Linked DNA regions of Drosophila melanogaster. The protein of the gene in region 1 interacts with the protein of each later gene in a pairwise test. Each region holds a gene or a part of one and is shown in the gene's direction. Other genes may lie near its edges.

What was found.
Region 2: the proteins of CG5938 (region 1) and OS9 interact in a two-hybrid assay, tested with the Drosophila melanogaster proteins (one large-scale study listed by BioGRID).
Region 3: the proteins of CG5938 (region 1) and sip1 interact in a two-hybrid assay, tested with the Drosophila melanogaster proteins (one large-scale study listed by BioGRID).
Region 4: the proteins of CG5938 (region 1) and CG15136 interact in a two-hybrid assay, tested with the Drosophila melanogaster proteins (one large-scale study listed by BioGRID).

The regions. Positions count from the first base shown.
Region 1 is NT_033777.3:27,271,486-27,279,998, forward strand, and holds CG5938 (uncharacterized protein), read left to right. Parts: upstream 1-3,308; 5' UTR 3,309-3,526; intron 3,527-3,691; exon of another isoform or gene 3,692-3,905; 5' UTR 3,906-4,172; coding exon 4,173-4,300; intron 4,301-4,807; coding exon 4,808-5,018; intron 5,019-5,084; coding exon 5,085-5,252; 3' UTR 5,253-5,933; downstream 5,934-8,513. Other genes in the region: l(3)mbt (lethal (3) malignant brain tumor), read right to left, coding at 1-288; CG5934 (uncharacterized protein), read left to right, coding at 2,346-2,400, 2,478-2,830; mrt (martik), read right to left, coding at 6,105-7,618, 7,693-8,506.
Region 2 is NT_033779.5:19,963,880-19,970,833, reverse strand, and holds OS9 (Olfactory-specific 9), read left to right. Parts: upstream 1-4,323; 5' UTR 4,324-4,357; coding exon 4,358-4,414; intron 4,415-4,473; coding exon 4,474-5,016; 3' UTR 5,017-5,170; downstream 5,171-6,954. Other genes in the region: CG43861 (uncharacterized protein), read left to right, coding at 1-314, 594-797; Hf (helical factor), read left to right, coding at 3,180-3,260, 3,324-3,887; CG10680 (uncharacterized protein), read right to left, coding at 5,553-5,771, 5,824-5,994, 6,059-6,190, 6,253-6,408, 6,469-6,495, 6,553-6,603.
Region 3 is NT_033779.5:5,717,130-5,725,880, forward strand, and holds sip1 (septin interacting protein 1), read left to right. Parts: upstream 1-3,921; 5' UTR 3,922-4,006; coding exon 4,007-4,115; intron 4,116-4,166; coding exon 4,167-6,445; intron 6,446-6,508; coding exon 6,509-6,640; 3' UTR 6,641-6,815; downstream 6,816-8,751. Other genes in the region: CG34011 (uncharacterized protein), read left to right, coding at 1-92, 200-285, 345-498, 556-938; CG11149 (uncharacterized protein), read right to left, coding at 1,272-2,301, 2,382-2,833; CG11030 (uncharacterized protein), read left to right, coding at 8,091-8,099. UniProt on the Drosophila melanogaster protein: May be involved in pre-mRNA splicing.
Region 4 is NT_033779.5:17,044,253-17,051,064, reverse strand, and holds CG15136 (uncharacterized protein), read left to right. Parts: upstream 1-2,783; 5' UTR 2,784-2,936; intron 2,937-2,996; exon of another isoform or gene 2,997-2,999; 5' UTR 3,000-3,083; coding exon 3,084-3,294; intron 3,295-3,455; coding exon 3,456-3,817; 3' UTR 3,818-3,904; downstream 3,905-6,812.

The DNA.
Region 1 (8,513 bases):
TATGTTGACCGACTTTAGTTTGGATTTCATTGGCTGGACATTGCTGATGGTGATGTTGCAGGTCTTGTTGCCGCCCATGGGCGCCAGGGGCAGGAAGCGTAGCTCCTCCTTGCGCGGAGCTAGTGTGAGGAGGCTGTTGGGATTTGGATTTCCGCCGGAGGCAGAGGCAACACCATTGCAATTCGCGGTAGATGGTGAGATGACTCCTCCATTCGCTGGCGACATGGACAATGATATATTGCGCTGGAGCTGCTTGGCCTCCGCACTGGCCATCGACAATGGCAGCATTTTGAGCCGTTTATGCTTAGAGCTATGGATTTTTGATTTCTTTTTTAACCAGCGGAAATCGAAGTTATATTCTTGTCTTTACAATGTTTGTACGTTGAGGCGCACAAAAGTTTTTGGCATTTTACACTCCACACCGGCGTTAGTATTTTTTTGTATTCCCCCTTTTCACAAAACTATTTGGCAATTTGTTATGTTCTCGATCGCGCGATTTGTGCTTTATATCCGTATATTCATCAATCACTTTTCTCTTAATCAAAATCGCAGAAATTGTTAAGTTTTTGAATTAAAGTTATTGTTTCGCGCGTTTCCTTGCTCTCATTGTTCGTGTTTCTCGGTTCTGATAATATACCAACATTTGGTATTTAAATGCACAGATTGCGAATTAGTTTTAAATATTTACGGTTACTTTGGGTTTGTTATTACCTGAAAAAGGTTAAGTTGGATTTAGTTTTGGATGCTATATAAGGATTTTAAAGCTGCAAAAGCATGGTAATCAGAAAATAGCTAGCAGGTAGCAGTTGCTTTGCAACTTGTATGCATATTCGCTGTTAATAGCCAATCGCCATCTGTCCCAATAAAAAGGGAAATATCTAGCAGCTTAAAGTCATTAGTTACAATACCTGTGTTATCCTACCTTAATATTTCTGTTTATTGCGCTTGCTTTTTTTTTTTTTTTGTTTTTACAATTTACCCGCGGCCATTGGGCAAAACCTCGTTGCCCCAGTACGGCCACACTGCACGTATATTGAATTTTGATACCATTTTTAGTTATGCTGCCCAAAGATTTATGTTATCTCAAAAACGACTAGAACCTAAAAATAGCTCCTCTGGGCTTTGAATCCCATCTCACGACCACATTTACGAGCCCTTGATGGCTAAACCGATCCGATCTCCCAGCCCCATGTTACGTAGCAGCCCACCCAATGTCACAATAACTGAAACCTCTTATCTTGGTTCGGATGAACCACTGGCCAGGGAATTTGGTCTAGGGCCCATGGAATGCGTCTTCATTTTTCACTTTCAGAGAGTCTACAGGTTCCGCTGCCAGGATCCAACTGTTGACTTACCCGCACGCGATTCGTTTTTGCCCGCGGAGCGAAATGAAATGTACAGCCGCGGAGGAGGCGGAAACCAGGATATCGGGATGCTGTTGGCTTGCCGAACACGGCTGGAATGATAGAAGTTCAGAAAGTCAGGTCGCGAGTGTCGAAAGGTGGGCCAGGATATGTAGGCTTACCTGCTTTAACCGTATGATTCGATTGAACTGCAGTTTGTTGCTGCGAGGGTGTTACTGCTCGTTCGACCTCGTAAATGCAGGCAAAAACGAATGGCCAGCGAAATCGGGCGGAAAATCTTAACAATTTAAGCACATTTTTCACCAGGTAAGCCAACTAAAGCAGCTCGAAACATTACGCAGTGCCATCGAAACGGAAGCGTTCTGTCGTTCAACAATATTAAAAACTGCAAAAGCATGTGTGTATTTTAATTTCTATGATCGAACGGCTCAGGTGGCAACTCTGGTTGCCGATTCGTGTGCGCCCGATGTCGGTTATTTTGAAAAGGCGGAAATAAAATGGTAAATAAACGAAGCCTTTCTTGTTTGGTGTTAACTGTTTTGGAAATACGCTACTTAGCAGCCTTAAATGCTTAAATTAATATCAAGCGATGGCTTTACATGTACCTGATATTGTAAAATAAGTGCAGAGGAAAATTTCGCAATATCCAACAGAGCTTTTTACCTTCTCGGAACAATTTTAACGAAAAGAGTTTGTCCTCTGAATAGTTGTATATATTTAAAACCGCACATTAACTTAGCAACTTTATCAATATTTAATTGCTTCAAAGATTACAAAATACAGCTTCTTCTTCTTCTCCTTAAACTTCTGTTAGTACTGGAAAACGCCGCTCATACTAAACAACGGCAGCGCCAGCAGCTAGTGTTGGCCAACTTCCCAAAGGGTAGTTTTATTTTCGTGTCAATTGTTAAGAGAAATTTGGCAAAAGTGAATAGAGTTTAAGTTTTATAGAATAAAGAGTACCCCTGAACACTGCCAGCCATGTCCCTGTTAAACAATGACGACAGCATTCCCAACATGGACGAGGATCCACAGGGTAAGTGAAAACTGGAGGGAGTGGGTGGAGTCCCGAGTGATGATGTTATCAATTGCTAATCCCCCCCAAAAACGCAGTGGTCATTCCGGACGACGAGCCACCGGCGACGGGACGAATGCCCAGTGGGAGGTCCATGGACTCGTTGCGTTCATCGTTCACCAACCGCAGTTCCACGCCAGATTCATCGCACAATTCGCTGGAGGCCATGGAAATGGCCCAGGACGATCGGGAGGAGAAGGCCCGCCTCATCACACAGGTCCTGGAGCTGCAGAACACCCTGGACGACCTGTCGCAACGCGTCGATTCCGTCAAGGAGGAAAATCTGAAGCTGCGCTCCGAGAACCAGGTGCTCGGCCAGTACATCGAGAACCTGATGTCGGCCTCATCGGTGTTCCAGTCCACCAGTCCCAGTGCGGCCAAAAAGAAGTAATCTTCTATAGTCAATCGACCCACCGGTACTGGAAACCAAAAACCTTCTCAAATATGCCTTCTCGTTCACGCTAGAGCTACATGTATATTTTAATCTGTAACACTCGAAATTAAGCTATTGCAATGTTATTTCAGTTGCCCGATTGTCGAATTTGTATTTGTTTAGGCTTAAGCTTATGGCGCGCTATGTATTTTATACATAGAAGTAATTAATTTATATAGATAATTAATAAATCAATAATACCCCACGCAATTTAAGAATTTGAAAAGGAAAACGGGATGGCAGCACTGCCAATCCAGCTGCTTTTAGAGGTCGCTTTACTAAATAGCCATGATCGAATTGCAAAACTTACAACAGAGTGACATTTTTAATTAAATAATAAAATGTATTTATTTGTATAAATCTTAGCAATTATTAGAAAAACACCTGCTCACATTTTATTTGAAAATTTTGAACTGCCTACCTACACAACGGCCTGGCAACTTTGGTCGGCCAGCTGTTCGTCGTGGTCGTGCAACAACAAATTGAGCAGTGACTTTTCGTATTCGAATAACGTAGAAAGCGTGTATAAGTCGTAGTCTCTGCTCGGAACATTTTAAAACCAGTCCAAAACTATAGGAAAAACAAGAAAAGTGATCGTGCTTACACCAGAACAGTTGAACGTGCAACAAAAGTGATTGCGAAATACACTGCAAGGTGTGTGTGTGTGACTTGGTGCTCTAGCTGTGTGTGTGTGGGGAAAAACAAAACATTTGCGCTGTGGTTTTTGCTTTTAACAATGTTTGTTTGAGTAGGAAATTCCAATTTTAGTGGCCATTAATGGAACGCAAACATTTAGTTGGCCTTCCTTTGTATTTGCAGTTTCTATTTTGTATCTTCCCCTCCCGCTCGCAATTGTGGATAAAAGCAACAACAAAGTGCAGACAGAGACCAGTGTTGTGAAAGACCCCCCACACACACACACACATGCACATGCGTTGCATTTATTGTTTTTTAATATGCACTTTATTTTGAATGCCACTCACCAACGCCCCGCCATCCGCCGACCGCTTCGCCCACGCATTTGCGTCAACAGAGGAGGCCAGACGTCATAATCGCATCACTGGGAAGCGCGACAGACGTCGACATTTTATGGCGGAAGCAGCAGTGTCAATCTGCGATTGAAGGACAGCTCTAAAGGAACACCCAGGATCCCCGCCAGCGACGGCAGACAGCAACATGTTTTGACCTCCCACTCGGTACAGCTGGAGCGTCCGCTGCTCTTCTCTGTTCCCCTTGGTCACCTAGTCATCCGTTCTCACCACATCGCCCCATCAGCCCTCCATAATAAGCACGGCCAACCATGTCCTTCTCCGACTTCGACGCCATCTACGAGGATGAGCAGCTGGACGAGCTGGAGCACTTCCAGGACCAAACGGTGGCGCCGGTCCAGGAGCCCATCATCATACGCGGCGCGGGCAACATGACGGTGTAAGTGGGTCTATGCACTGAGTGATAAGCGGGAAAACAGATAGCTGGAGTAGTTAAGGGTATAACCTCATTCAGTAAGACAACACCATTATCAGCACAATTGAAGGCAAAGTAAGAACTTTTAACGCCATAGTAATCTTTAGTGAAACAATGAACTACGTATTTCATTTTATAAAGGGTAGGTTGCCACAGAGATCCTTTAGATTATCTGCATATAGAATATCTATCTTATAGAATATTATACAGATACAGAAATGATAGGTGTATGCTTTCAGCATTGTCTGTAACATTGTCTGCATGAACGAACCTATTTAAAAAGTAGTTCAAGGTTAACGCCACCCAATTTCGATCTAGGCCCTGCCCTGCTATTTGACCCCATTTTTGGGGGAGAACGCCTTTGCTGCCCAGCAGTCAATTACAGGAAGGTTGCATAAGAAATGAGTCAGGGCAGAATAATTGCACTTGCACTGCACACGAATTGTAACTTTTTCACACGCACACTTGCAGATTTGGGCTAAGCAACCGCTTCAACGCGGAGTTTCCCTGCGGTCTGCTGTCGCGCGTGGCTCCCGAGGAGTTCAAGGCGACGGTGGGCCGGATCAACGGAGTGCTGAAGAAATCCCTGCCCGTCAACGTCAAATGGCTCTTCTGCGGCTGCGTCTGCTGTTGCTGCACGCTCGGTTGTTCCCTCTGGCCCGTCATCTGTCTCAGCAAACGCGTAAGCCTTAGATTAATCTAGAAAATCGGTCATGAGCCTAGCCTAAATCCTTTTTCAATTTTGTAGACACAACTCACACTGGACAAGCTGTTCGAATGGGAGAACAATCATCTATATCATAAGCTGGGCCTGCACTGGCGACTGCATAAGCAACAATGTGATTCCAATTCCATGATGGAGTATGTTATTTTAATTGAATTTATACCCAAAACGCCCATCTACCGGCCCGACTAAGTGCCGTCGTGGAGGAGGAGGGGCGTGGTATCACAGGGTCGCGGGGTTGTCGTAATGGTAATTGTAAAATAAACACTAGCTGCTAACACTTTGCTTTAGGCGTTTACGGATCGTGCTAATCAGCAGAGAGTATAGGTACACTAATCCATAGGACAGGACAGGCGCAGGCACAGCACACACAATGGGCATTAACTAATTTAGTGCACTCGCAGATTGTCATTTTAAGCTAGCTACTATTTCATGTTCGGTTTATAACAAAATTTTGCAAGAACTCTAGGCGGTAAGTTTGATTTCTCGTAACTTTAGGGCGCTCTACTTTTTCTGTTTTTCGTTTAGTTGTAAATTCTTATTTGTTTCCCAAACTAATGCAATACTATTTAATAAATTTCGTGTTAGGAAATTTACAGTGATTTCGAAAATGTGTTTTTCTAACTGCATTCATAGTAAATGAATATTTTTCAACTAAGAATTCAAAGCCCACTTTCGATACCCGAACAAATTCACACATATTCTGTTCATGTAATGTACAAGGTACATATATATTTTGATATATATCATATGGTTACCTAAGTATTTTGTGGTTTCAATAACTTTACAGCACTTTGGGGCATAGACGGTTGATGAACAATAAATACATTTTAATTTACTTTAGGTTTCATTTATGTATTAATGCTTAAATATAATCAAGTCTTTTAACAATGCGCGGGTCTGGCTCTAGGAATATATATATATATATATATGGTTAGTATATATAGCTTAAGGAATGCGATTGGAATGAATCGGTATTAACAATGGTGTTTGTCTTTTTGGGGTAATACTTGGCGATGTGTTAGGAAGTTAGGAGATAGCCATCTAGTGCCCTCCGCTAATGATTTCGGCATTGTTGGAGCCCTCGGACATGGCTAGATTGGACATTTCCAGGTCGCTGTCATTGGCCATGTTCTCGTCGTAGTCGCCTTCGTCTTCCTCGTCCTCATCGTGCTCATAATCATCATCTTCATTGTCTTCATAATCTGGCTCTTCCATAGTTTCCTGCACATCATCGCCAGCATACCCTTCTCCATTTTCATTGTCCTCCTCGCTTTCCGGAGTCTGAAGCTCGGTTTCTGGCTCGAACGGCATTTGAGTTTCGGGAATGACACCTTCCTTATCGTCGGGCTCCATTTTAGCTGCCTCGGAAACTCCACTGACCAGCTCGTTGGCTGTTCTCAGCAGCGCATCTGTTTGTCTGCGCAGCGTCCGCATTACCAACGAGTCCTGCTTCATCTGGAACACGTGCTCCCGCCGTGCGATCTCCTTCTGTTGGAGGAAGAAGTCTTGCAACATCTCCTTCTGTGCCGTGCGCATGGCAGAAGCCAGTTGGCTGAGTTCCTTGGCCAGCAGCTCGTCCTGACGCTTTCTGCGCTGCTTGGTCTCCTCCTCGCTGGACTTCTTTTTGCTCTCCTCGCCAACCGCAGGGTGAGATCGGATATCTTTCGGAGCTGAGCCGTACATATTACTGCTGCGCTGCAGTTTCACCGGCACGGGCATTCCCATCACCGGACTTTGGCCCAATCGACGCTTTCGCGGCTGGAGCTGTTGGTGCTGCACCGGTGTCAGCTGGTGGGAAGACATCATGTGGGCCTGCCTGCTGGTGGAAGCACCTGCTTGCTGACCAGCTATCTGATACTTCGGTGGCGGCCCGCGACCCAAGAGACTGGACATTGTGGACGGCGACTGCGGTGGACTGGACGTGGACTGATCGATGTCGTGAGTCATTCGATCCGGACGCAGCGAGTAGCCCGTGTCCCTCATTGGCACCGTCTTCATACGCATTCCTGTCGACTGGACACTGATATCCCTGGGCAGTCGCAGCCCGGACTGACTGCTATTCGGATTCTGCCTTCTCGGTAACATTAACTTGCTGTGTGGGTGGACAAAGTTTATGCTGCTGGTGCTCTGAAGCGGCACGGACCGGCTCATCTGGCCCGGATTGGGTATCTGCTGCTGTCCCATCTTGGTGAGCGTCGGTGGCGGGCGGTCGATCTGCAGTATGCCGTGGGTGGGTCGTCGCAACTCGCCCTTGGCAAAGGAGGCCACACGCAGGGGAGGTGGTGCCACCGGCGTGGATGAGTAAACGCTGTCATCTTCGGTGTCATCCACAGTTACTGGTGGCGGTGAAGGCGAGGCTGGCGCTGTGGGCGGCGGTGTGTTGGTGGTGTCCATGCCCAGATCCACGTCGGGTTCATGTTTAACGGACACTATAAACGGCAAGTGGGGCACATCCTCCTGGTCGCCGTTGTCGGCATGGGAGCTTCCTGCCTCGTAGTCGAACGACTCCATGTCGGGCTCGGACACCATATCATGTTTTTCGGTCGTCTCATAGCCTGCAAATATAGAATGGTACGTGTTTTCAGTAATGACTCTCTTAACATACTTTCATTTTGACAATCCCACTCACCTATATCAATTGGCTCGGGTTTAATGGGTCCCAGTCGGAAGCCGAATATGGGATGCTCCACTCCGAGAATATCCTCCTTGTTATCATCGCCCGCCGTCTTGGAACTGTCCATCGAATTGCCGCATTCACTAAGGCTGCCGTTGACATTGCTGTTGCCGCCGCCATGATTTGTATCACTTAACATCCGGCAGAGCACGCGGTAAACCTCCTCCGGCACCACCTTGGGCACACCCGTACCATGTCGCGTTGTTGTGTTGTACGTGGACTTGAGGAACTTCCACTTTGTCCAGATCTGAATGCTGGACTTCTTCACGAAGCCCTTGCTGCGCATCACCTCTTCGATCTGCCGGAAGACCTGCTCGCTCTTCATGTTCCGGTCGTTTAGCTGCTCGAGGGCGTTCAGGTTCTGCATGATGCTCAGCATCTCCAGCATTTCGGCCCGGCTCCACAGGTTGCGTTCCGGCCGAGGGCTATAGCCGAGGGAATCGCTCTTCACCGAACTGCCGGCGGAGTAGGGTGGCGACATGTGCGCCTTAATGCGCATGGGCGTCAGCAGTCCGTCGACATCGTCCACCACGCCGTTGCCCGTGGAGGCCGTGTGCAGGAGGTGGTTGATGTCCTGGCCGCTCGCGTTGCTCTGGTTGCTCTGGATGTGACCTTGGCTCTGACGCATGTTGTGCTCCACTTTACTTAGCAGCCGCATCTTCGTGTGAGCGGCCACCGTCGTCGGCGGAGAGGAGGAGCTGTTGGTCGCTCCTGCAGCTCCGTGACTGCCAGACGACGTGGAGCTATCCAAGTAGCGAGGCATTAACATGGATGTG
Region 2 (6,954 bases), on another chromosome or scaffold:
AGGATCCCGAACCCACCACGGACGTGGCAGAGAAGCGGGACAAGTTCAAGAACCGCTCCGACAAGGCTCTCAGCTCCAGCTCGACGGAGGGTCAGATAGACGCCGCCAGTCCCTCGACCGCAGACAAAGCCAAAGATTCATCGCCCGTCGACGGCGGATCCACCATTCCAAGACGCCAACTGGGAGCCCTCAAAAGATCTCCCAGCCACGACTCTCCGTGCACCACACTCAGTGTCAAGGTCCCCCAGCTGCAGCCACCATCTCCTACACCATCGACACAAGGAGTCCAGGATCCGCCCAACGGAAAAACCCAGGTAACTGAAAAGTAAAAGATTAAACTGCAAAATGTTGCACTTAAATTTTAAATTTCAGGATAATGTTGAGCCAATGGAGGGAATTCCCATATTCTTAGATTGCGAAATAGACTTATAGCGTTTATTAAATTATGAAACTTTACTAGAGAAAAGACTTTCTGTTTTCCTGCATAGCACTAAATCTTTGAATTAAATGTATTAAACGAATCTTTGGCTTTTCCAATGAAGCATAGATCTTTCTATCTTATATGCATAGTTAATGTATATATCCTTTTCCAGGTCACCAACTACAACCGGGTTATGCTCAACCATCGCTCGGTGACGAAGCCCAAGGACGTCAAGTACAAGCGCATCAACAAGGCGAAGTCCAAGAGTCTGGAGGAGCTGCGAGGGCGCCTCAAGAACCTGGTGGAGCGGCCTCCTGGCCTGGACGGCGGCTACTCCGGCGGCATGATGCCGCAGGCGGCGCAGTCATATGCGTGACATTCGCAGCAGCCGGACGGAGAGTCCCAGAGGTCAACGGAGGGGGTAAAGAACGGCCAGCCGGAGGCGGCGATGGAACCTCGTCCGCGGAGGGAGAGCGCGGAGCCAATGACCTCGACCTCGGCCGCGACCTCGACCTCGACTTCGATCTCCGCCACCCAGGAGCCGCAGGGCAGCAGACATGGCTTTCCCAAGAGGTCGCTGACCTTGCCACGCATCCTGGTGCCCCGGCAATCGGCAGCGGGACTGGCGGGCTCGAGCGGCGGCGGCGGTGGTGGGCGTGGCGGCTTCTAGCAATTAAAGAAATTTTTCATACGCAATTGTGATAAAAAGTAAACACGTTTTCTTCCTCCGTCTCTGTAGTGCCGACTTCAGTTGCTTTAACATGATTCTCTTTTGTAACATTTGTTTCCTTGACATTTATCCTGCGCCTAGTTTGGTAAACTATGCATTTACTTAAGTTATAGCTTAAGTTTTTCATAAAACGGAACTGCATTTTGACTTAACATTACATATAGTTTCTCACAAAACAAATAAATCATTTTAAAAACATATTTTTCTGTCTATGATTTTCACACTTTACAAGAAGCGTATGAAAAATTTCGCCAACCGTAAGTCAGATATATCTTACAAAAGAACGGAAAGTGTACTCGAGGACAATATTTCCAAATCCCAGATGTTGAATGGTGAGTAGCTCCAGTCAGTCCCAGAATCGTGGGTGAAAATAGGCTAGAAAGGATATTATAAAAATTTACTCAAGATATTACTAAATAGCCCGTAAGAACAAATGAATATTTATGTTTTAAGCAAAGTGTTAATCGTTAATATTACCTATATACACATTTCTGCAACGTTTAAGAGCTTCTCTGAATCTTCGTTTACATACATATATAAAGCATTTCGACATGCTTTTGAAAACTATACAACCAAAACAATGTTAGAACATACTTCTCTATTGATATTCGACCTAGTTGTAAGCTCTACTCCATGGACTGTCTTCTAGATAACAGAATTTACAATTGATCATAAATATATATGAGTATATTTTCTTACTAACTATTACTAGCCATTTATAAGTATTTAAGAACTTTAGCTAGCATAAGATAGAAGCATATTATTTTTGCATTTTGTCACGATTATTTTATAACTTGTTATCGACTATTGGGGTCTGCATGGCCCCAATGTCCTGAATGTCAGATGTACCTTGAGAACTCGTAAAATACTGTAAAGATTTAATCCAAATATCAGCGTTAGTATAAGCAACTGAATTAGAATCTCCTTAGGTGTGAACTACGACAATGGCTGCTATCAGGTCTCAATTATAAAGAATATTATATATATATATATATATTTAAAAGCCAAATCAGTACAATGCCTGGACAACTGCAACACAAAAAGCTATGTATATATGCGAAATAACTTATATCAAATATATATCAATATGCAACTTGGTGTTTCAGTGATAGTCCTACTACAATGTGTACCTACATATGTGTGTTATCTCGAAATGCGGATTAAAATTGTTCAAAACAAAAAATTTTCAGTATTCAACTATAAAGTATGCATTCCTAAGTCAATTGGACGTTAATTTAATTATTTTAAGCTGATTGTTGAAAATGCCAGTGCATTTGCCAACAATCGCGGGTAAAGCGTATTATTCTGAACGTAAATGTAATAAGACTTATGTATAAGTACTTTTGCAGAGATACAAAATGAAATAGTTATAAGGACGTTTATCGCATGCCAAACGATCCTTGATCCTTGATATTTTTTGATTTTACACAACTTTAAAAGATAATATAGAAAATATGGTTATTGTACAAATTATTAAGGATGTTTTGGTAATCCAGACTCTTTTCTTTACAATTAAATTTATTTAAAAACACTTTTTCGATTTTACCAACCTTTAGAGATCAGATTGAAAATGTTGTAAGTGTACAAAAGAATGAGCATATTTTGATTATCCGGACGACTTTCTTCCCGTTACAAGCCAATTTACAAATGCTGAATATGAATATATATATACATATAGTCCGGATCAATATGAGAATGCAGTAGCTTGCTAATAACCTAAGTATATGCTAAGATGTGTAATTTACAAATCTAATTGTTAATGTTACTCGTGTGTATGCAGATTACTACTAACATTCGACTAGACGGCATCTTTTTTTCCTAGCTAGCTTAAATAGAAAACCACGAACGAACATTAATGGCCATTAATTTGCTCACTCTACGAAATTCGTATAAACAGTACTTGAGATATTTTCTACTTGCGCTTAATAAAACAAACAAAACCTAAGCCAGTCGAGATTGTTTGGGTGGGGAGACCGTTTGGCATCCGTCCGACATGATCAGTCTAAATCGAGCAGCGATCAGAGGAGCATGGCGAGATCAGGGCGCAGTTCGAGGTTTCTTATCGGCGGCAGCACTTGCTGTTCGATGCTTCTGGGTCTTATCTGTCTGGTGAGTCGGTGAGTCGGCAGTGGATTAGATAAGGAACTTATTGATTTTCCTCTCGATTGCCAGGCTCTGGCGGACTCATCCCAAGTGAAAGAACGCAGCCCTACCATCTTGGTGAGAAATACAATTCAAGCGGTGGAGAGGCTCTTCAATCAGGTGCTCTACACGACCATCGAAGATGCCCGCCAACGACTACCGGGTCTTCCGGCCAACGAAACCATCGATCGGCAGTACTTCGAGGAGCTCGACCTGGTTGCTGGGAACGAGGACTATTACAGCACTGCATTCTATATCTTCGCCTGGATAAACAGCGACCTCATGTACCATAAGACTCCCGATAAGTTGCTCGTCGAGGTTCTTCCCGGCGAGAAGATCGCCATCCGCAGATTCTTCGCCAAGGTCAAGCCGCATCTTACCAAGTATCTGCGACTCAGTCGACAGGACAGGTCGGAATTGGTTTCCAACGTCACCCAGTTGGCCACCGAAACCAAGGACAGTCTGATCACAACCTTCTTGGAGTTTCCCCAGAACCTGAAGAGCCAACTTCCTGAGCTCCAGCTAATGGACTACACCAAATTGGCTCAGGCTTTGGTGCAGGGGGTGGCCAGTGGTATATGGACGAAGGCTTAAGATTAATAGCTAAATATTTAAACAATATCATAGAATTAGAAAGTGTTTGTAATAAAATGAGAAATGTACTTCAAAGAACAATATTCGGAATCTATTTATACGAGGACTTTATTCCTGAAAAATGCCGTTTAACTTCCGGAAAATTTCCGACTGTCTGATCAACATGTGTAGATATCGAGAACTGATACTTTAAAGCAATAAAGATATTATCGTGACTTGGAACTATATACGACTTTGTAATAACAAAATGCATGGTTTCCACTACCCACTAATTAATATACGAAGGGGCAGCACTCGTTCTTATCACGCTCACCGATTTCTGAAGTCTGATTACAGTCTATACGTTGTCTCACGATCAGTGGGTATTCATTACAGAGGAGGCGTTCTCCCATTTTGTATAAAAATTGTGAATTTAAGAGAGGGAATATAAAAGGAATCAGTTCGATAGAGACTAGATACAGTTTCAAATCATGGCCAGCAGACTAACTTGGACTTTTCTAGTCGCTGTAGCTGCCCTCCAGCTTTCGGTAAGATCCTTAGATTTGCTTATATCCTTTTGGAATCAACAGAAACCTTTAACTTTCAGCTTGCAGCGCCTCTCATTAACAAATGGCAGTTACAATTCGAAGTGTCCAATGAACTCTTTCAAATGGTAACAGACGCCATGGAACAGCTACGACATGTCTTTCAATTGGTCATCGACGAGGCCGAACTCATTTTACCACCAAACTCCAAGGGACACATTCTCAGGGAGCTTAAGGACTTCGTCGCGGCCTTGGACACCCTGGACTTCGATGATTCATTCGAGCTGAACAGACTGGAGGATGCTCTTGAGGAACTGGAAAGCATCATTTCGATTGCAGGCAGCAAAGAATTCGAATCGGAAGCTGACGAGGTTGTCGTTCAGCTATTCATACAGCACGGAGTTGAGGACCTGGAGCAGATCCTGGAAAGAAACTTGGAAACTACTCTGAAAATCGTAGAGCAGAAGGTGGAGAAATACATGAGCACATGGTCCGACAGTCGGTTGGCCAGGAACGCGGCGATGGTCAAGCAGTTTAATGACTTTAAGAACGAAAAGGATGTCTATGAGAAGCTGGACAAGTTAACCAACTCTGATTTCATTTGAATAAACATATCATGTTTCAAGTACATTTAAGTTTAAACCAAATAACTACAGATACATAGTCCGAACGTATATATTATTTCCAGAAACTGCCTTGCAAATATCAAAACCAGTAGTCCAGAGTTCATGTTTTGTATTAGCACGCTCGCCGGAAGCTAAAATTTGATTACATATTGCAGCTGATTTAACAATCAATGAGCATATAATAAATACGCTAGTAAGTGTTTACTACTTAGTGCAGGTATGACGTAAGAAATGTGGAATTCATTTTACAAAGGTATTGAATACCTTAATATACCTTTTTTAGATTTGTAAGCTGTCAGGTTTCAATAGCTTTGAAAGTTTTACTGACTTTCTATTCAATACAATTGTTATTTAGTCTGATAAATAAACCGTGCGGAAAGTAAAATAACTGATTATTTGTAATGCCAAGAATCTTTACATTACACACAGACAAGTCAGTATAATCTCTAGCAGCCTTAACTAGTTGTTTTTGAGAACTCGGAACTTTCATTCATCAGCTTCTCTTAGGAAAGGTGTTAAAAGTTGCGATAAGATGATCCAAATCCATCCCGCGAGTCGAACACATCCCGCTCGATTTGGGGAGGTCCTCTTCCATCCGATGTGTAGCTATAGGATTCGCTCCGGTAAAAGTTGTTAGAAGAGCCCCCGGAACCAAGGGGACCACTTCTACCAGTCGGAATACTGGAACCACCGGCGATAAGGGGGATAATGGAACCACTGGATGGCATAGGTACCTGGAGAAGGTGTATTAGTTTTTTAGTTAGGAAAACGATTGCACAAGATTACCGGTCGAGATACAAAGGTTCCTAAGTTTTGATTGCGGAATGGGGAGTCAGGAATTGGTCGAATGCCTCTGCCACGGAAATCCGGGGAACTGGGAAAAGGTCTGTTGTCGAAGCCGCTGCCTCTGGGACCCACATTGTAATCGGTTTGGAATGCATTGTCATAGTTGGGTTGCTGAAATAGTTCAATCGTCAATCGGATTGTAATACTATGTGTAACTACTTATAAAAACACTTACACGAATGGGGAAACCGTTGGATCGGGGAGGGATCTGAGGATAAAACGGTCGAGGTTGGAAGGGGATAGGTCGGAGTGGAACGTCCTCCTCTTCGTAGGTGTCGGTCACCTCCTCCACTTCACCGCTAGATCTCTTCAAGGATAATAAATATATATTTATTTCCATTTATATTAAGTGTATTGGATGAGACTCACCTCTAGAAACTCGACATCGTTATTTGCTTCGGCCAGGGCAGAGCTGTTTCCGCCATTTAAGGATGATCTATTAGAAATAGGTTTGTTGCTCGATTTCGGACTCACTGGCTTGAAGAGATGCGTGGGAATGTTGATAGTTTCACGAGGCACCCTTAGCTGTGGATTATGGAATATTGCAAAGAAGATACTATCTAAATTGTTTGCTAGCAAACTTACCTTGGGATCCGGCAGAGTGTGGCATATCTGAAAATATAGAACTCATTGAAGCCTAAATTGTGGAACAAACCGATGAATAGTTACCCCCTGAGCGATGAACAGACAGCCCAGCAAAACGAATTGGAGCGGCAACATCTCGCAGATCTCGACTGACACTCACGTCTCGAACTTCCGACGATCGACAGAACTATGAGTTGACTGGGTGGAATGCGCTGCAATTAAATGCAACCACGATCCCAACCCGTTCGACTGGAAATCACCAAGGTGAGAGCGTCGGGGCCCGGGGTTATCAGCCTGGGGATTACACGATAGGGAAATCAGAAGCCCATAACTCAATCTCATATGCGCAAATCATCAATTATCATTTTCCCGAATCTAGGAGCCTTTAACTTACTTACTAGTTCTTAATGCACCGAAAGAAAACTCCAAGCAGTCCCACATTCAGTGAAGAACCTTGTACTCAGATTTACACGATCGAAAGCATTA
Region 3 (8,751 bases), on another chromosome or scaffold:
AACAACTTTCCTGTATTTCTTCATCAACATTCTGGAAACCTATTACAAAACCAGCAGGATTGTTAAGGAGTCTGTCACCTGGGCGGAACATTGTAAGCATCTTTAATATGTACAAATATTCTGGTTCAAGACTATAGAAACTCTAATCACCTTAAAATAACAAACAAATCTGTGAATTATATCCTTTTATGCCTTACAGATTCCAAGGAGCTCATGGTGTTTATGCAACTCTACAGTTTTTGCTACATTGCAACTTGTGTTTTGGCGGCTTATGGAGCATATAAGGTCTGCTTTTAATTCTTTATATATAGTATTTTAACAAGTATGTATTATTTTCAATGCAGCTTAAGAAATATCACGTTGTACCATTGGCTATCTTCGAGTTCATTTACACAGTACAAGTAGTTGTACTCGTCATTATAACGCTACGGATTGCCAGACACATTGTGCCATTGGCCACCTTAATTCTGATGACCCTTGCCCTTTCATTTTACGCAAGTAAGCAACTAAATTCGATTAGCCTCATTTGTGTAAGATAACAGTTTTTTTTTTCAGTGCTTGTGGCCTACGACACATTGGCGTTGATTGCCTTCGTGCAAATAATGTTCCTAGTGCGGAGTCAACGTTATATACGACTTTACGGTCCAGATCCTTTGAATCCCGTAACAAACGGAGTGCAATCCAAGCAAATGGCATCTATTAATCCGATCTCACAACAGCCAATAATTATTTACGTAATGCCAAAAGCCGGGCAAAAATTGTGGGATTTGCCACAATCGAAGTGGTGGCAGGATGAAAAAACTGATGACAACGTTCCACAAAATATAAATTATGAAGAGTCCTCTGAATTTTTTCAGCGGCAGGAGCTTTTGTCAAAAGTTTTACTACGCAATGCCATCAAAGAAGACTATCTACACAAGGAAAGAGTTGCAATCTAAACAATTATGTGAAAGCCATTTTGCTGAAGAATTTAAAATGCATTTAAAAATTTAATTTAAAATTTATGTTCTATATATTGTACTACATGAAACAGCGGAGCAATCAGTTTCCCAAGGTATAGGGAATTGTATCCATTAGGTCTTATTATCTAATTGTATAAAATATAATATATTTTCACATTGATGAATAGCAAGCAGTGAGCATTAAGTTCAAAATATACATACTACTCGGTTTAAGTAGTAAAAAGAATAGACTCTTTTTCCTATAAAGGCATAACTTAGATGGGGCATAAATTCATTAATTACATTATTTGTTATATTATCAAAGTAATGTCACGTCTTGCAGGCTGAGTTCTTTCCGAAGAGCACACGATATTCGGGCTCGATTTTATTCTTAATAAATTTAGTCATTTCCTTCGCGTATTGAAGACGAGTGGAGTCAGCTTTGCTGGATTGCTTGATCCCAGGACTGTGCACTAGAAATGCGGGACTCAAGACATGGTATTCGTAGTCCAAAAGGCACATAGCATAGTTCTGCAATAAAAGGTTGCACTGTGAAACGGAAACTTGACTACAGTAGTAACTCACCTGTATGCGCTTGTTCGACTGACCCTCCCACGTGACGCGTTCGTCGAACAGTGGCTCCGTGTTATCGCTTACATAGAAGGGCTCCCAGGCTCGGAACTTCCATTTTCGCAGCGCCTTGCTAAACACGTGCAGATGGTCATCGGCTCGAGAGGTTCGATTGAGCCACTCTTCTTGGCCAGGAATAGTGTGGCATGTGGGGCAAAGCTTCAGGTGAAACACCTGCGCCTGCTGCTTTCGATAGAGGGCCAACAATTCGTCCTTGTCTACCGGCACTTTGGCGCCCGTTTCGATCTCGAAAACGGGTAGAGGATACACCCTTCTGCGTTGCCGCGGATCCAGTGCAAGGACACTGTGGTTTCTGGCCACCATGTCCAGGAATTGGTCGACGAAGCCCACACTGGGATACAGCTCGATGTCGCAGGCAAAGATGAAGTGGGTGTTGGTCGCCAGCCTGGCTATATTCCTGCCCACATTGATGGGGTACGTGAGGTTGGCCCTTGACTTGTAGCTATCCGTGGTTGGGATTTGCGTGTAGAGCGGCGATACCAACGATCCATTGGCCAGGGTGCACATGTGCGGATACATTAGTACCTCGGCCTCGTCATATGGCACGTATTCCGGCATGTGCTGATTTGGGAAGTACACGTGAAAGGAGACCCAGTCCTTGATGCTATCGCTCTCCGGCAAACAGTTTCGCACATACCGAATGGCATCCAGTGTGGTGTTAAGATCATAACCTGGAGTGTGGATGGCAAAACTAACTGGAGCACGCCAACTGGAAAATAAGTAAATTAAGTTAGCAAAGAAATCTTTATAGATTGCTATTAAGTGTTTATTAGATAAAAGAGCACTCACCGTGATACCACCATTTCCAGATTATCGAAGAACGTAAAGTCCCCGTTGGTGGTATACGTCACGGACTCGGCACAGCCGACTTCCCGACTCTTTCGTCCCATGACAAGATTCTGAAGCAGCCAGAACTCTCCGTGCTGAAGCCTCTCGAAACGGAGCGATCGGTCGCGGCACTTGAGCAATGATCGCAATTCCTTGGTGCGAGCGGAGTCCTCTCGCCGGATTATTTTCGGATGCTGATCATTGGCGAGATGGAAGTTTGCAGAAAAACGTGAGGGATTCGACTCGTTGGACAGCAAAAGTCCTACCGACTTTTGCCCACCAGTATTAGAAGATGCGGCCAGTTTCTGGGCCTGCTGCAGGTTCCTCCAAACCAGCAGGAGTGCCACATTGAACAGTATGAGCACTGGCCACAGACGGACATATTTCCTATTGCAAAAACTTATGGTCGCCATGCTGATTTCGAGAACATTGATTCACAGGAACTCCTTAACTAACAGAACACAAAGAACTTATTGACCTGTGAACGGAAACAGAAATATTGATATAATTCCGTTGAAAATGGATATGGAAATCGAAAGAAGAGTTTATGGCAGCGACTGAGCTTTTTGTCTGTAGTTATGTCTAATTTACTGGGCCTATTGTATGAACTGAAATTAGTGCTGTACTCATCCGATAAGATTCCATGTAATGTGGTAGCATGCAAGGGGGTTCATCGATGTTTTATAATGTTCTGATAATGGGGCTGCCCAACAATGAAGATGACTACCTCCTTTTACCCAGTAAAACTAAACATGATTTACGTACTCTGATAAAAACGGTGACATTTATGGTACCATACACAGAGAACAACTTTTCACTTTACCGGCTGACACTTTCATTTCCATCGACAAGAGTTTGCACATTAAAGATTAACCCATTTTATGACGTACGAAACGACGCAAATTGTTTGAGGGATTTTTTTCTGTTAAGATTAAAAGTTATTTCACGAACGAGACAGACAACATTCGGCGATGAATAATGGAAACAGACTAAAATTACTGAAGTTCCCGCGAAGCTATCATAGTTCAAGTGATTTTCTTATCCGTCTAGTTATCAATATTGTCGTATTTTCCTATCCTTATCATAACAATTCAGTAGACGTAACCAATTGATAGCGCTAATCGAGTGTTAGCCAAATACATATATGGTCAACAGACGATTAGGCGGCATAAACATGTATTTCTTACTTTATCGATTTTAATATCTTATCACTATAATCAAATACCTTTAAAAAAATTTTCTAAAAATAGTTTTCTTTTGAAATCGGATTCTCAAGTATTTCATACTGCGTACTTATGCTAATTAAAAGGGAGCTCATTCTGTTAGGAATGAACTTACTAAACTAATAATAGTTCGGTAATTGAGTCAATTAGTTGTGGTTTTCAATTGTCAAAAAATTTAAATTTATTTTGGCGCCGATAAGCGATACTAATAGTGTACTAAAGTTAGTATTTAGTACTTTTGTATCGATTTTCTTATCGATAAAATTGCTAATTTAGGGCCATCCCTATTGTCAATGGTGCGTTTGTTTACATTCACAAAAGTTTCAGTTTCTGCTGTAAGTAATATATACACGTCTAGCCAGGATGTCGGACAACGATTACGAGCGTTTCGAGATAACGGACTACGATCTGGACAATGAGTTCAACATCAATCGGCCCCGAGGCCGCCAGAGCAGGCACCAACAGATCTACGGTATGTATTGAAATACATGCCGGAATTTGTTTGTAAACGAACTTTCTGTAGGTATTTGGGCGGATGACAGCGAGGAGGAGAGTGGTGGCGAGGGCGGAACTAAGAGAAGGGGGCGCGCCGCCCGTAAACCCAAAGACTACACCATGCCCGTCAATTTTGTGGCCGGCGGCATTCAGCAGGCGGGCAAAAAGAAGAAGAAGGCGCTCCAAGCCGATGATGAGAAAGGATCGCAAAAAGAGGGAGCAGAGGCTGACCAGGGCGAGGAGAGCGACGATTCCGCCGCCAGCGGACGGCCAGCCTTCGGCCAGAACGATCCGGGCAGCTCCAACAGCTCATCAGAAGAGGAGAGGCCAACGCTGAGCCGGAAACAGCCAAGCACCACATTTCAGCATCGCTCCCACATCGCCAGCGAGCGCAACGTGGGCGCCTGGGAGCAGCATACACGCGGCATTGGAGCTAAGCTACTCCTTCAAATGGGCTATGAGCCTGGCAAGGGTTTGGGCAAAGATCTGCAGGGCATTTCGCATCCTGTGCAAGCCCATGTCCGCAAGGGCAGAGGTGCTATCGGCGCCTATGGACCCGAAACTGCGGCAAGCATCGGAGGAAAGACGAACAAGAGCATCAAAGTGGATGAGGACGTGCGCGAGGCGAAAGAGTTCAAAGACCAGCTGAACAAGTGGCGAAAGGGCTCAGCCGGTGGCGCCGAACCAATGGAGCGGCAGGGTAAGCGCTACTACTACAAGTCCGTGGAGGAGGTGATTGCCAAGGGTCACACGTCCGGCCACCTACTGTCGGAGAAGCTAAGCAAGAAACTGGGCAATGTGCGGGTGATCGATATGACAGGCCCAGAGAAACGAGTGCTGAGTGGCTATCATGCCTTGGGACAGGCAAAAATTACGCCAGAGGAGACGCTCTACGACACGGAGGCGACGGAAAAGGGATCCGCTCCCGCCTGCGTTTTTGCCATGCCCGAGCTGACGCACAACCTCCAGCTCTTGGTTAGCCAGTGCGAGCAGCAGATCATCGCCATCGACAACCAGGAACGCGAGTGTTCCAGCCAGCAGGCAGCGCTGGAAAGCGAGCACCGGAAACTGGAGGAGATAGTCCAGCTAGAACGAAACCACATACGCACGCTGGAGGAATCGTTGGAGCGCGTGGAGCGGTTAATCGATAATCCAGACTTGAGTTTACCTCAGGCTGAACGACTCTTTCGGGAGCTGCTCGTGGACTACGCTGCCGAATTCCATGAGTTCGGACTTGCAGATCTGGCAGCCGGTGTAATAGCGCCGCTCCTGAAGCGAGAACTAGTTCAGTGGCAGCCACTGGAAAACCCAACGGAACCGCTGCCACTCATCAAGAAATGGCGCGGCATGCTCCAGCAAGGAGATGCAGCAGAGCAGCAGCCCCGCAACGTCTTCGATCCGTACTCCTCGCTCATCTGGGCCGGCGTGATGCCTTCGTTTCGGTCCAGCGCTGCCGCATGGCAGCCGAAGGAGCATCCGCCAATGGCTTCACTCCTAGATGCCTGGGCACCCCTGCTACCTAGCTGGGTCTTGGATTCGGTTCTCGAGCAACTGGTTCTGCCACGACTGGTGGCTGGTGTCCAGGAGTGGGATCCGCTCACCGACACCGTTCCGATCGACAGTTGGGTGCTGCCGTGGCATGCCATCTTGGGCAGCAAGCTGGAGGAGGCCGTCTATCCTCAGATCCGCAGCAAATTGGGTATAGCATTGCGCGCCTGGTCACCGCATGACCGATCAGCCAGAGCCATGCTTACGCCCTGGCAGAAGGCCTTCCCCGAGGAAGAGATGCAAGAGTTCCTGCAGCGGTACATAGTGCCCAAACTGCAGGCGACTCTAGGCGAGCTCATCATCAATCCAATGCACCAGGACCTGGAGCTGTGGCAGCAGGTATGGGAGTGGCACGAGCTCATCGATCCCATGTACATGGCCCAACTACTGGACAGACACTTCTTCCCGCGCTGGATGCAAGTGCTCGTCGTCTGGCTGAATCAGTCGCCGGACTACGCGGAGATCTCGCGATGGTACACCGGCTGGAAGAGCATGTTGAGCGAACCGCTTCTGCGCGAGCCCAGCGTTAAAGAGCATCTGCGGCGAGCACTGGAAATTATGCACAGAGCCAGCGATACCCTGCTGCAGCCCACGGTGACGCCCACGCCCCCGCCTCCAGTTCCTCCGGCTCCAGTCATAATGATGGACCTGATTCATCCGCCCGCTCAGCTGGAGTTCAAAGAGTTGGTATCGCAGCAATGCGCCGACTTGGGAATCATCTTCGCTCCTCTGCCAGGGCGACGGGAGATGGGCAAACAGGTGACTGTTAATCCATTTTCGACCACAGAGCGTTATATACTAATAGATTTATTGCATTTACAGATTTATCGTGTGGGAAAGCTGTTTTGCTACATCGATCGTCACGTCTGCATGGTCAGCGATGGCAGCTTCAGCAACTGGAAGCCGGTGTCGCTAAATCATCTGCTAGAACGCTCTCAAACGGGAATTCTTTAAATAAATAGCTGCGAAAATGTTTAATTGGCTTGGAAAATGTTTAATTGGATTGGATCAGAAGCTTAGCTCTTGCTGTTCCCTAATAAGTTTGTAATATAAGGTGATTGTATGATGAGATGGCTCTGCAGATATAAGCAAATGTCTAAATATATATGTAAAAGTAATCAGATATATTATTCTGTATAAAATTGAAACGGATTTGAATATTTTTGAAATTGATATGATTACATCCAAGTTTTTCACCACGGTTTGGGTCCGAGCTGCATGCTCCATGAATTTAAGATGTAAATATACTGGCAGTATTTTTCGGTATATATTTATTTTGTGGGAGCATGGGTTTGTAACGTGCGCGTTGAAGTAGAAGTACACTAGAAGTATCTTTAGTGTCTTTGGTTGAACCGATTAATAAATCTTTAAAGTCGAAATTTGATTGTTAATAATGTGGTTTATGACATGGATTGGCTGTGGTGCTAGAGAAGGCGGCATTATTAAATAAATTTAAACTCCTTCGCTGTGAGGCGGATTTCTGGAAATCGGTGGATAATTTTTAAAGCATTTTTCAGGATCATTATATAATTAGGCTTAGCCTATTAGCCTATAGGGACACGGTAGTTTAGATCAGCGGGACACAATTCGCAAAAAAAAAGTCCCCGAGTTCCAATTTCCACCGTTCCGCTATCGTCGCTAATTTGACGCACATTTATTATACATTATTATTATTATTATTATTATTTTCTTCTCATTTAACTTTTTTTACAAAAATATGGAAATAATGTTTGAAAAACCGGAGCGGCCCATGCAACTAATCGATATCCGCAGCCGGGCAACGATGATGGATAGATAGATAAATACATCGATAGTATCGGCTTGTCATCGGCCCGCTGCCACCTCTGGCCATCGCAGCTGACTCTAGAACGCGTCGTGGAAATAGGAATAAACTGACTGAGTTCGCGTTCGGTTCGTTTGGCGCACGCAAAGCAAGCAAGTAGTGAGCCAGATGCGGTTCGAAACGGTGCAGTCAACTGAAGCTCGCGTAGTGCAATACAATTAATTGTAAAACCAAGACACAAGCACTCCTATCGCGATAGGCACTGTTAGCAAATTGAAACCGCGTGTCTTTCGTTTCGCTTCTCCCGCTCTTTCGTTGCACTTCGCCCACACTATTCGCCAATGCAGTCGTGAGTGCGTGTGTGCGTGCGTATTCCCCCCCAAATTCAATGAATTCGACAGGCGGTGCAATAAAAGCGCAACTAAAACAAAAGTGATTCCACCACGTGCGCCACTCTCTCGCGTCTTAAGTTCAGTTGTTGTAGCTGGTTTCGTTTGTTTTGCTGGCGTCTCGCTCTAACAGCTCCCACTGCTAAATTTACCGCTCGCCGAACAACCGGCACGGAAATATCCGTTGGATTAGGAGGACTCACTAACGGGACACCCGCAAAAGGACATCAAAATGGTGCAGGTGTGTAATATATTTAATTTTAAAGCACGACTATATCAAAGAAGCTTAAATGGTTGTTCAATAATATTCCTGAACATAACATAATGAAAATATTATATCCATCTATCACTACTAAGATACAGGTGTTAAGTTTGCTAGTTATTTGCTAGTTATAATTTGTTGTATTATTCTAAATACACTAGATTCAGCTACAGTTTTTTACAGTACGGTCTTTATTTATACTAAATAATAATCAAAACCGCTTTTTATAAAATGGAATACTATCCATCAAAAATGTATATCCTTTCTTTAAACCCTAAAAATACTGCTTATGATAATCGAAACGATTATTTAACGTCAGATTTTGTGGTATATCAGCATCTTAAGCGCATTATCCTCGATTGCCAGTTTGGTATAATTTTAAGTTTTACACGAAATTAATTTTATACACTTTAATATCTTGAACACTAAATCCATGTGCTAGTATTATTTATTTGCCATCAATCTACGTAAATCTATGTTGGTTTCGAAAAAAAATTCATTTCTAGTTTCCAATTCAATGATATTCCACCCTGCCACTGACCTTTTGACGCCATCACGCACAACCCCCATAATCCCGAAACGGGACACCACAGCTCAAAATGCACTTTTTAGCGACCATCCCGAGTCGATT
Region 4 (6,812 bases), on another chromosome or scaffold:
CTCTTCCTATACCCTAACAGCAGGAGTTTTAATCTTTTAAAGCCATCTTCATTTTAATAGCCTTTAAAGTGATTTAAATATATGTATAATTGTTTTAAACCTTCTTTTTAATATTTTCCAAAGTTTATAGTGCCGTTTTTAAAATTAGTTTTTTTTTAGGTAAGAGTGGTTTCTGCTTCGGTTATAGAGACTTTTCTAGCTTTTCTTGTTTTTGCAGTTGCTTTCGCCAACAAGGTGGCAACACTGACACCAAGCAACGACACCAGCAACCCTGCTGCAACAGCAAAAACATGTGGCAAGACTACACCAACAACCGGCAGTAATTTGGACACCTTGTCTATGTGTGTTTGCTTAGGCGGGCGATAAAAAATATGGGAAGTCGGAAAAGCGGGTCTAACGGACCAAATGAACATCTAGGGAAAACGTGGGTAAAGGGTTAAAAGCAAATATGAGAGTCTAGACTATATTTGGATGCATGACAAAAAAACCTAAATAATATTCAATATTTCATTTCTAATAGTACGTTCAATTCGTTTAAATGTTAGTTTCCAAGAAATTGTTCACACAGAAGAAAAGCTATTTGCAGTATAATTGGTATAAAAACGAATTTCTATTTCATAATTGAGCTCAAGACACTTACAGCCTAATGAAATTTATTTATGCAATTTAACAAATAAAAAAATAACCCCTTTTGGCCTTCCTAATCAAGTTTGTCAACGATTTAACGCACATCAATTAAAGCCGCTCAAAGATGGAACGCTTAATGATGGCCTTTGTTTTCATCACTCTCCATGGCCAGTCATTCGACCAGTCAGTTAGTCAGTCAGTTTGTCTATCTGCTGTCCCTTTATATATATTATTGCGGATATGTATGTCTGTCCCTGTGGGGCTTCCCGGCAGTGCTGCTGATTTTATACATTCAAATTAGTTCGCTTTGCACGAGTGGCCCTCGAATGAGAGAGAGTACTGCTGTGATATTTCCCGACCACGGCTGACTGGCCAGGCAACCAAGCAACCCGTCGGAACACGGCACAACCGCTCCAATGCCACTACAGCATACATACATACACAAAGATATATGTATATACATATATATATGGAGGGGGTCCGGATTGGGGGGCTATCAAGTTGCCTGTGAAGTGCTTATCCTCAAATCAGTGACACTTGAATGTGCAGCCCATGTGACTGACCAAGTGGGTGACTGACTGACTGCTGAGCGACCAGAGCTGTCATCTTGGCTACTTTCCCTTCACAAATAATATAATGTAATATAATACAATTTAATATTATTCGTTTTTATATTAACGGTTTATATCTGAGGCATATTCTGACATGACTTCTTCATTCAAAGCTGAATAAAAGATATGATACGTTACTCCTTCAAGGGAAATACGCCAACACTGAGCAGCAACTTTACAAAAGTGCGAAGACTTCGTTTCATCTATTTACTTTGCCCTTCGACCACCGCTTGCCATTTGAATCTGAAACTGTCCAACAATTTGAGTGTTGTTTGTGTCCCTGATTGAGTAGCTAAATAAACTTTGGCCTTTTATTTAATTTAACGGATTTATGACTGTCGAAGATAATTGTCAAATGGCTTAATAGTGTTATTGAAACAGGAAGAACTACATGGTATTTTTTTACACAAAATGTATAGAATAAGAAGTCAAAAAAAAAAAAAACATCCCTTCAGAAACTAACAAATTAGTCGGACTAAACCTATAAGCTGAAAAACCTTGTCTATTCCACAAAATGGCCAATAAATTAGCGCAAGTAATTTGCGCAATTAACTAAAAACAGTTAAAACCGCTATTTGTTCGGTTAGCGAAATCGCTCGATACAGCAGCGCGAATGCAATGAATTGGCAATAAATTCTCGGTTCTCGGTTGAAACTTTCTCTAACCCCTTTCTCTTTATTTTATTCGATTGTGTGGGTGTGTCGGCAGAGTCAACTAATTTATGTTTTAACACACTCGCACATGCAAATTAGCACACACACAAAATGAATGCAAATATTGGGTTCCAAGGGGGCTGAAGCTGCCATAATGAGCTCAAGTTGGGCAAATGGCTGAATGGGTGAATGGGTCTGAGGTTTTCAGGCGTTCTTTGCGGTTCATCTGGCAACAACTGTTGACAAAATGAAATCAATAAATTTTAGCGCAAATCAATTAAAATACACCAGCCAGATTGAATTAGAGTGCTGGGTGCTTTTGGTCTTCTTCTTGTTGGCCAAACGAAAATATTTGTCAATTTGCGGTATTCACAAAATTAAATTTGACACACACGCACCAGCAAGATGGAATGTCAGGATGAGTTTTAGGCAATTTTATCTCACTTTGTGTGAAATTTGTTATAATTTATTTATACGGCTTATTAAAATTATTGTAAGTTCGGCCATTTAATTAAAAGTCAAACTTTATTTGCAACGAGAAAAGCGGAGCAAACATGACAGTTGAAAGTGGAATCAAATTTATGAAATCGAATTATGGCATGCATGGATTTGAAGCAGTTTTCGGGTTAAGCCCCAATAAGATGGATAAACCCATAAATCCTCAAAATAACAATCTAACAGAAATTGAATGGAGGTAAATAACCTTTGACATTTCAAAGAAATTACAAGGAATCGGGACAAAGGAGCATGGTTAACTTACTTTTTTTGAAATAGTTTTCTATTTAATTGAGTTGTACGTTCTGCAATCATAAATTGTGTATGTAAATAATAGTGTAGCTTTAATCGTAGTTGACTTTTCATTACTTATCCAATTAAATTTCAAAGGCCAAGCATTAAAAATAGTAGGAACACAAATTACTTCGTGAAGACAAACGTTGAGAGATAAACACCCTCATAGCAAAAATCGGCCAATACCAAAGTTTTGGCAAAATATTTTGGAAGCGGCTGTCTTTGGTCATTCATTAATATTTGGCACTGAATACCGGTAAGAAAATCAAATAATCAGGTAGTTTGCCCTGCCATAATTGTCAACTGAGCATTTAAGCAGAATAGAAAAGCTACTTGAAATCGTCCGGCCGGAACTCAAATGTAGATTTGAAAAACTATTCAAGTGTTAAGTGCTCTGCTGACCATGTTGAAGGACACCGCCACCGCATCGACCAGCGAACTTGCAGGGGAAGTGGGTGACGCCCATTCGACTCCTGGCAGCTGCCCTCCGCCCGCCGCGGGCGACACGCCCCCCGTCGTTAGCCGACCGCTGGACCGACGCCTAAACCCCAACGCACCTGTGTTTGTGCCCGACTTCAAGGCCAGCCAGGTGGCCAAAAAGCTATTTGATGAGTGTAAGTACGGAAAGGAAATAATGTTTATTTAAAACAATATATATTGTATTTTGAAGCCCTTTATATATATTATGCTTTGACTTGCATAGGTTTTTAGTATTGTGCATTTATTTATTTCTTTTTAATTTCCTGATGGATTTATAAATTTAATACCCATGCAGTATCTACGTACACCCGGTGGAGTACGGCAACCTCGGAGGACATATGCTACGAGCCCCGTTACGAGTCCATCTGGCGTGAGGCCAGCATCCAGCAGCAGCAGGGTCTGCGCCATCCGGGTTTCGTTTACAGCCTGGATCCTGGCGAGGAGGAGGTTGGCGAACTGGAGTTTGACGAAGTCCAGGCCATGAATATCGGAGCCGAGTCCTATGATCCCAAGCTAGGAAGCACATCAGTTAGCCAGGCAATGGAAGTTCGCGAAACTGTGGGTGATGTGGAGGAACCTTTAGATGAGGAAAAAAGGAATGGCTTTCAGAATCGCCACTCCGCCAGACCGGCCAAAAAGTGCTGTCTGGTCATGTAGGTCCCACGGAATGGCAAATTTATATATTTATTTTCCATTTGTTTTCACACCTACATGCAACTCAGTAAATTGCTTCCTTACTCTCTCAATTTGTGTATTTTTTTCCTATACCATAGGTGCTTATAAGGGATTTCCCTTTTAGTAAGTAATTACATTTTTTCTGAATTTAATACGCTTCCAGCGCGAAGAATTAAATTCTACAGGTATTTTCCAACGTCGTTGCAATTAAGACGCTTTTCAGAACTTTCTAAATGCACTCCTTTCAAGCCCACTTACGGCAGACTGGAAGAAAGGAAGCTCCGTGGAGAAAGGTCGACTATACCTATGACATAATTTATAGCCTACATTTTAGCGCCCTAAACGGGTTTGTTTTACTTTCCACGAAGGCTCTTGCCTTTCTGCCTTCAGCTACTTTGTCCTGACTTTCTAATGATGTTGAATATGCATGAAAACTTTTGCCGCACGCAGAATTCTCCTCGCTGGATGGCAGCTGAAAGCTTGATTCACCTGTCTATGGGTAGCATGGCAGCAGGACTGCCTTCAGATTTAACTACCACTGAAAATAGTACGGGCTTAAATAACTAATTTTTAAACTCAATAAAATAACATGTGGAATTTAAAAAACACCTTCACTTTCAAATACGAGTGGCTATGCAAATTAAATTTTCATTTAAACTAGCGTTTTTTTACTCGTCCAAATAAAGTTCGAACATTTTCTTAGACTGCACACTTTTGCATTGTCTGTTAGCAAAGTGGCGACAACTTTTCATTTTTTTCGTTTCTTGATTATTTTAGTTTTACTCAATTTTTGGATAAGGAAGGAAAACTCATAAGGCGTTTGGGTGCTGGAGTGTGTGTCTAGTAATGAGAAAACTTTCGTGTCCTTGCAATGTCTCATTTAGAGCTGTCCGTACCCCGATGTCTGATGTCCCGAGCCACGGATAACGCAGCTGCCCACGACTTTTGAATGATAAGCGCGGCGAAAAGGACACGCAGTGCAGTCCCATCTGCAGCTGCACAAATGCTTGGCGGAAACAATTACCAACTCGTATGCAAAAGTGCCAAATTGCCAATGGAGCTTCTCCATGGGCGAAACTTTCACGCCGCTCAATGTCAGCGGGACATGTGAGCAAAAGGAGTCGAATGGAGGTGCCGGACCATACACCTGGGCCCCCCAATTTTTGGTCCTTTGGCAAGGATTCGCTTGGCAATTTTGTGCCAATTTTCTGCGCCTTCTGTTTGTTTATGAAACAAGTCACGTAAGCGACGAAACCCGTTCGCTCCTTTTGCCCTTTTTGGGCGCGTTGAACTGGCAGCTGGCTAAGTGGGCGTGCCATCACCTTGTTTTTGCCACTATTACTCTCCCCGTTGTTGTTGTTTCGCCCTGGGGCGATTGTCATTGGAATCGAGAATTCAGCAATTGGCAAACGTCACGAAAGCGGCTAAAACTTTTCACGATCTTTCGCGCCCTTTTGCCTGATTGTTGATTTGGCAATCTTTTGTTTTAGCCCGTTTTCGACTGCAACTTTGTCCTTTTTTCCGAGCCTTTTTGTTGGCTTGTTTTAGGTTGCTATTTATTGCATAAAATTTATGCCCGTATATTGTGCAATTGAAAAAGTTTGTCATATTTCTGTGATTTTCCGCCCTTATCGTCGTCTGAAGGACAGTACGTTTCGAAAATATAAGTACTTTGCAACAAGAATATTACGATTCAAGAAATTGTAGTGTTCACTTATTTATTTTTCATTATATATGATAAACATTATATATAATAACATTCCCATTGCGTAACGCACGGTATGGGACTCTCATGAAATGTTAAAATCAGGAGAAACCAAAGCCGCTGGCATAAACCATTATTTATGCATCGATTTCAAATCACCAAAACAAAACAGAACGGATTGGGCCAGAAAAAGAAAGTCCCAAATAAACACAATGACAAAACGGAAGGCGGCAAATAAATAGACAACACAGGAATATGGGCAAACAATGCCTGCAATAAATATCCACACATAAGTGCAGTGCACACAGTCGGGTTGTCTTTATGCACCTATAAATAAATTCATTTTGTGATATTTATGCCACGATATGGCAACGGCTAAAATGGCAATCAGTTCAATGACCAACAAAAGTTTGTCTTGTCTTGCAGTTTTTAGTATTGGCTAAGTATCCTGTGTGATTTTTAGGTATCTTAGGCCATTTGAATTCAAACAATATACCTTAAAAATAATTTATTACCAAAAATCGATCGAACTGGTTTAAATAAGATTTTTAATATTAATAAACTATTTGTCAAGATAATAAAAATTGGGATTATATGTACACAGCATTACATTCTTAGATAATCGATAGTTTTTCAAGGCTTATTTGCCTCACAAGCCCAACAGATTTTGTAGGATACTTTTCCTGCCTGTTTTCGAAGGGACTTTTCCCTCGGTCCTTTTTCACTTTTGCCACTCTACTCCTTTATCCACCTCTCTCTTTTAGTTGGCAGCACTTTTAGTTAAATTGAGCAACAAACACGTTTGGCAATAAAAATGATTCCACTTCCAGTTGCTGCTGCCACGCCCCCTTTGGCTCCCATGAGGACTTCCACCCCACCACCCATCGCCACCCCCTGCAAACATCTCCGGTTTGGAGTCCGTTTCGAAAAATGCAAGCCGCAATGCGCTGGCAGTGGAGTTTTGCACATTCTAACAGATTTATTTCACTCGAAATAGTTTCATTTTAGTTGCATTATTGTTATTGTTTGTTCGTTGTTGCTTTTACTGCTGTTATTGCTATTGTTGTTGCCGCTTGCCAGAGTGACTGCGGAAAGTTTTTCTATTATTTTCAAATTTAACTTTGCCATTTGTTTGAATTTCATGGATACACGTAGGGACAGCTGAAGTCGAAAGAATAGAACTCAAAAGTAGGGTTAACATTCTAAGGGTTCTAGTCTATCCATGTCTGTTATAAAGCACACATTTACTTAAAATACTTAAAAAAAAATTTG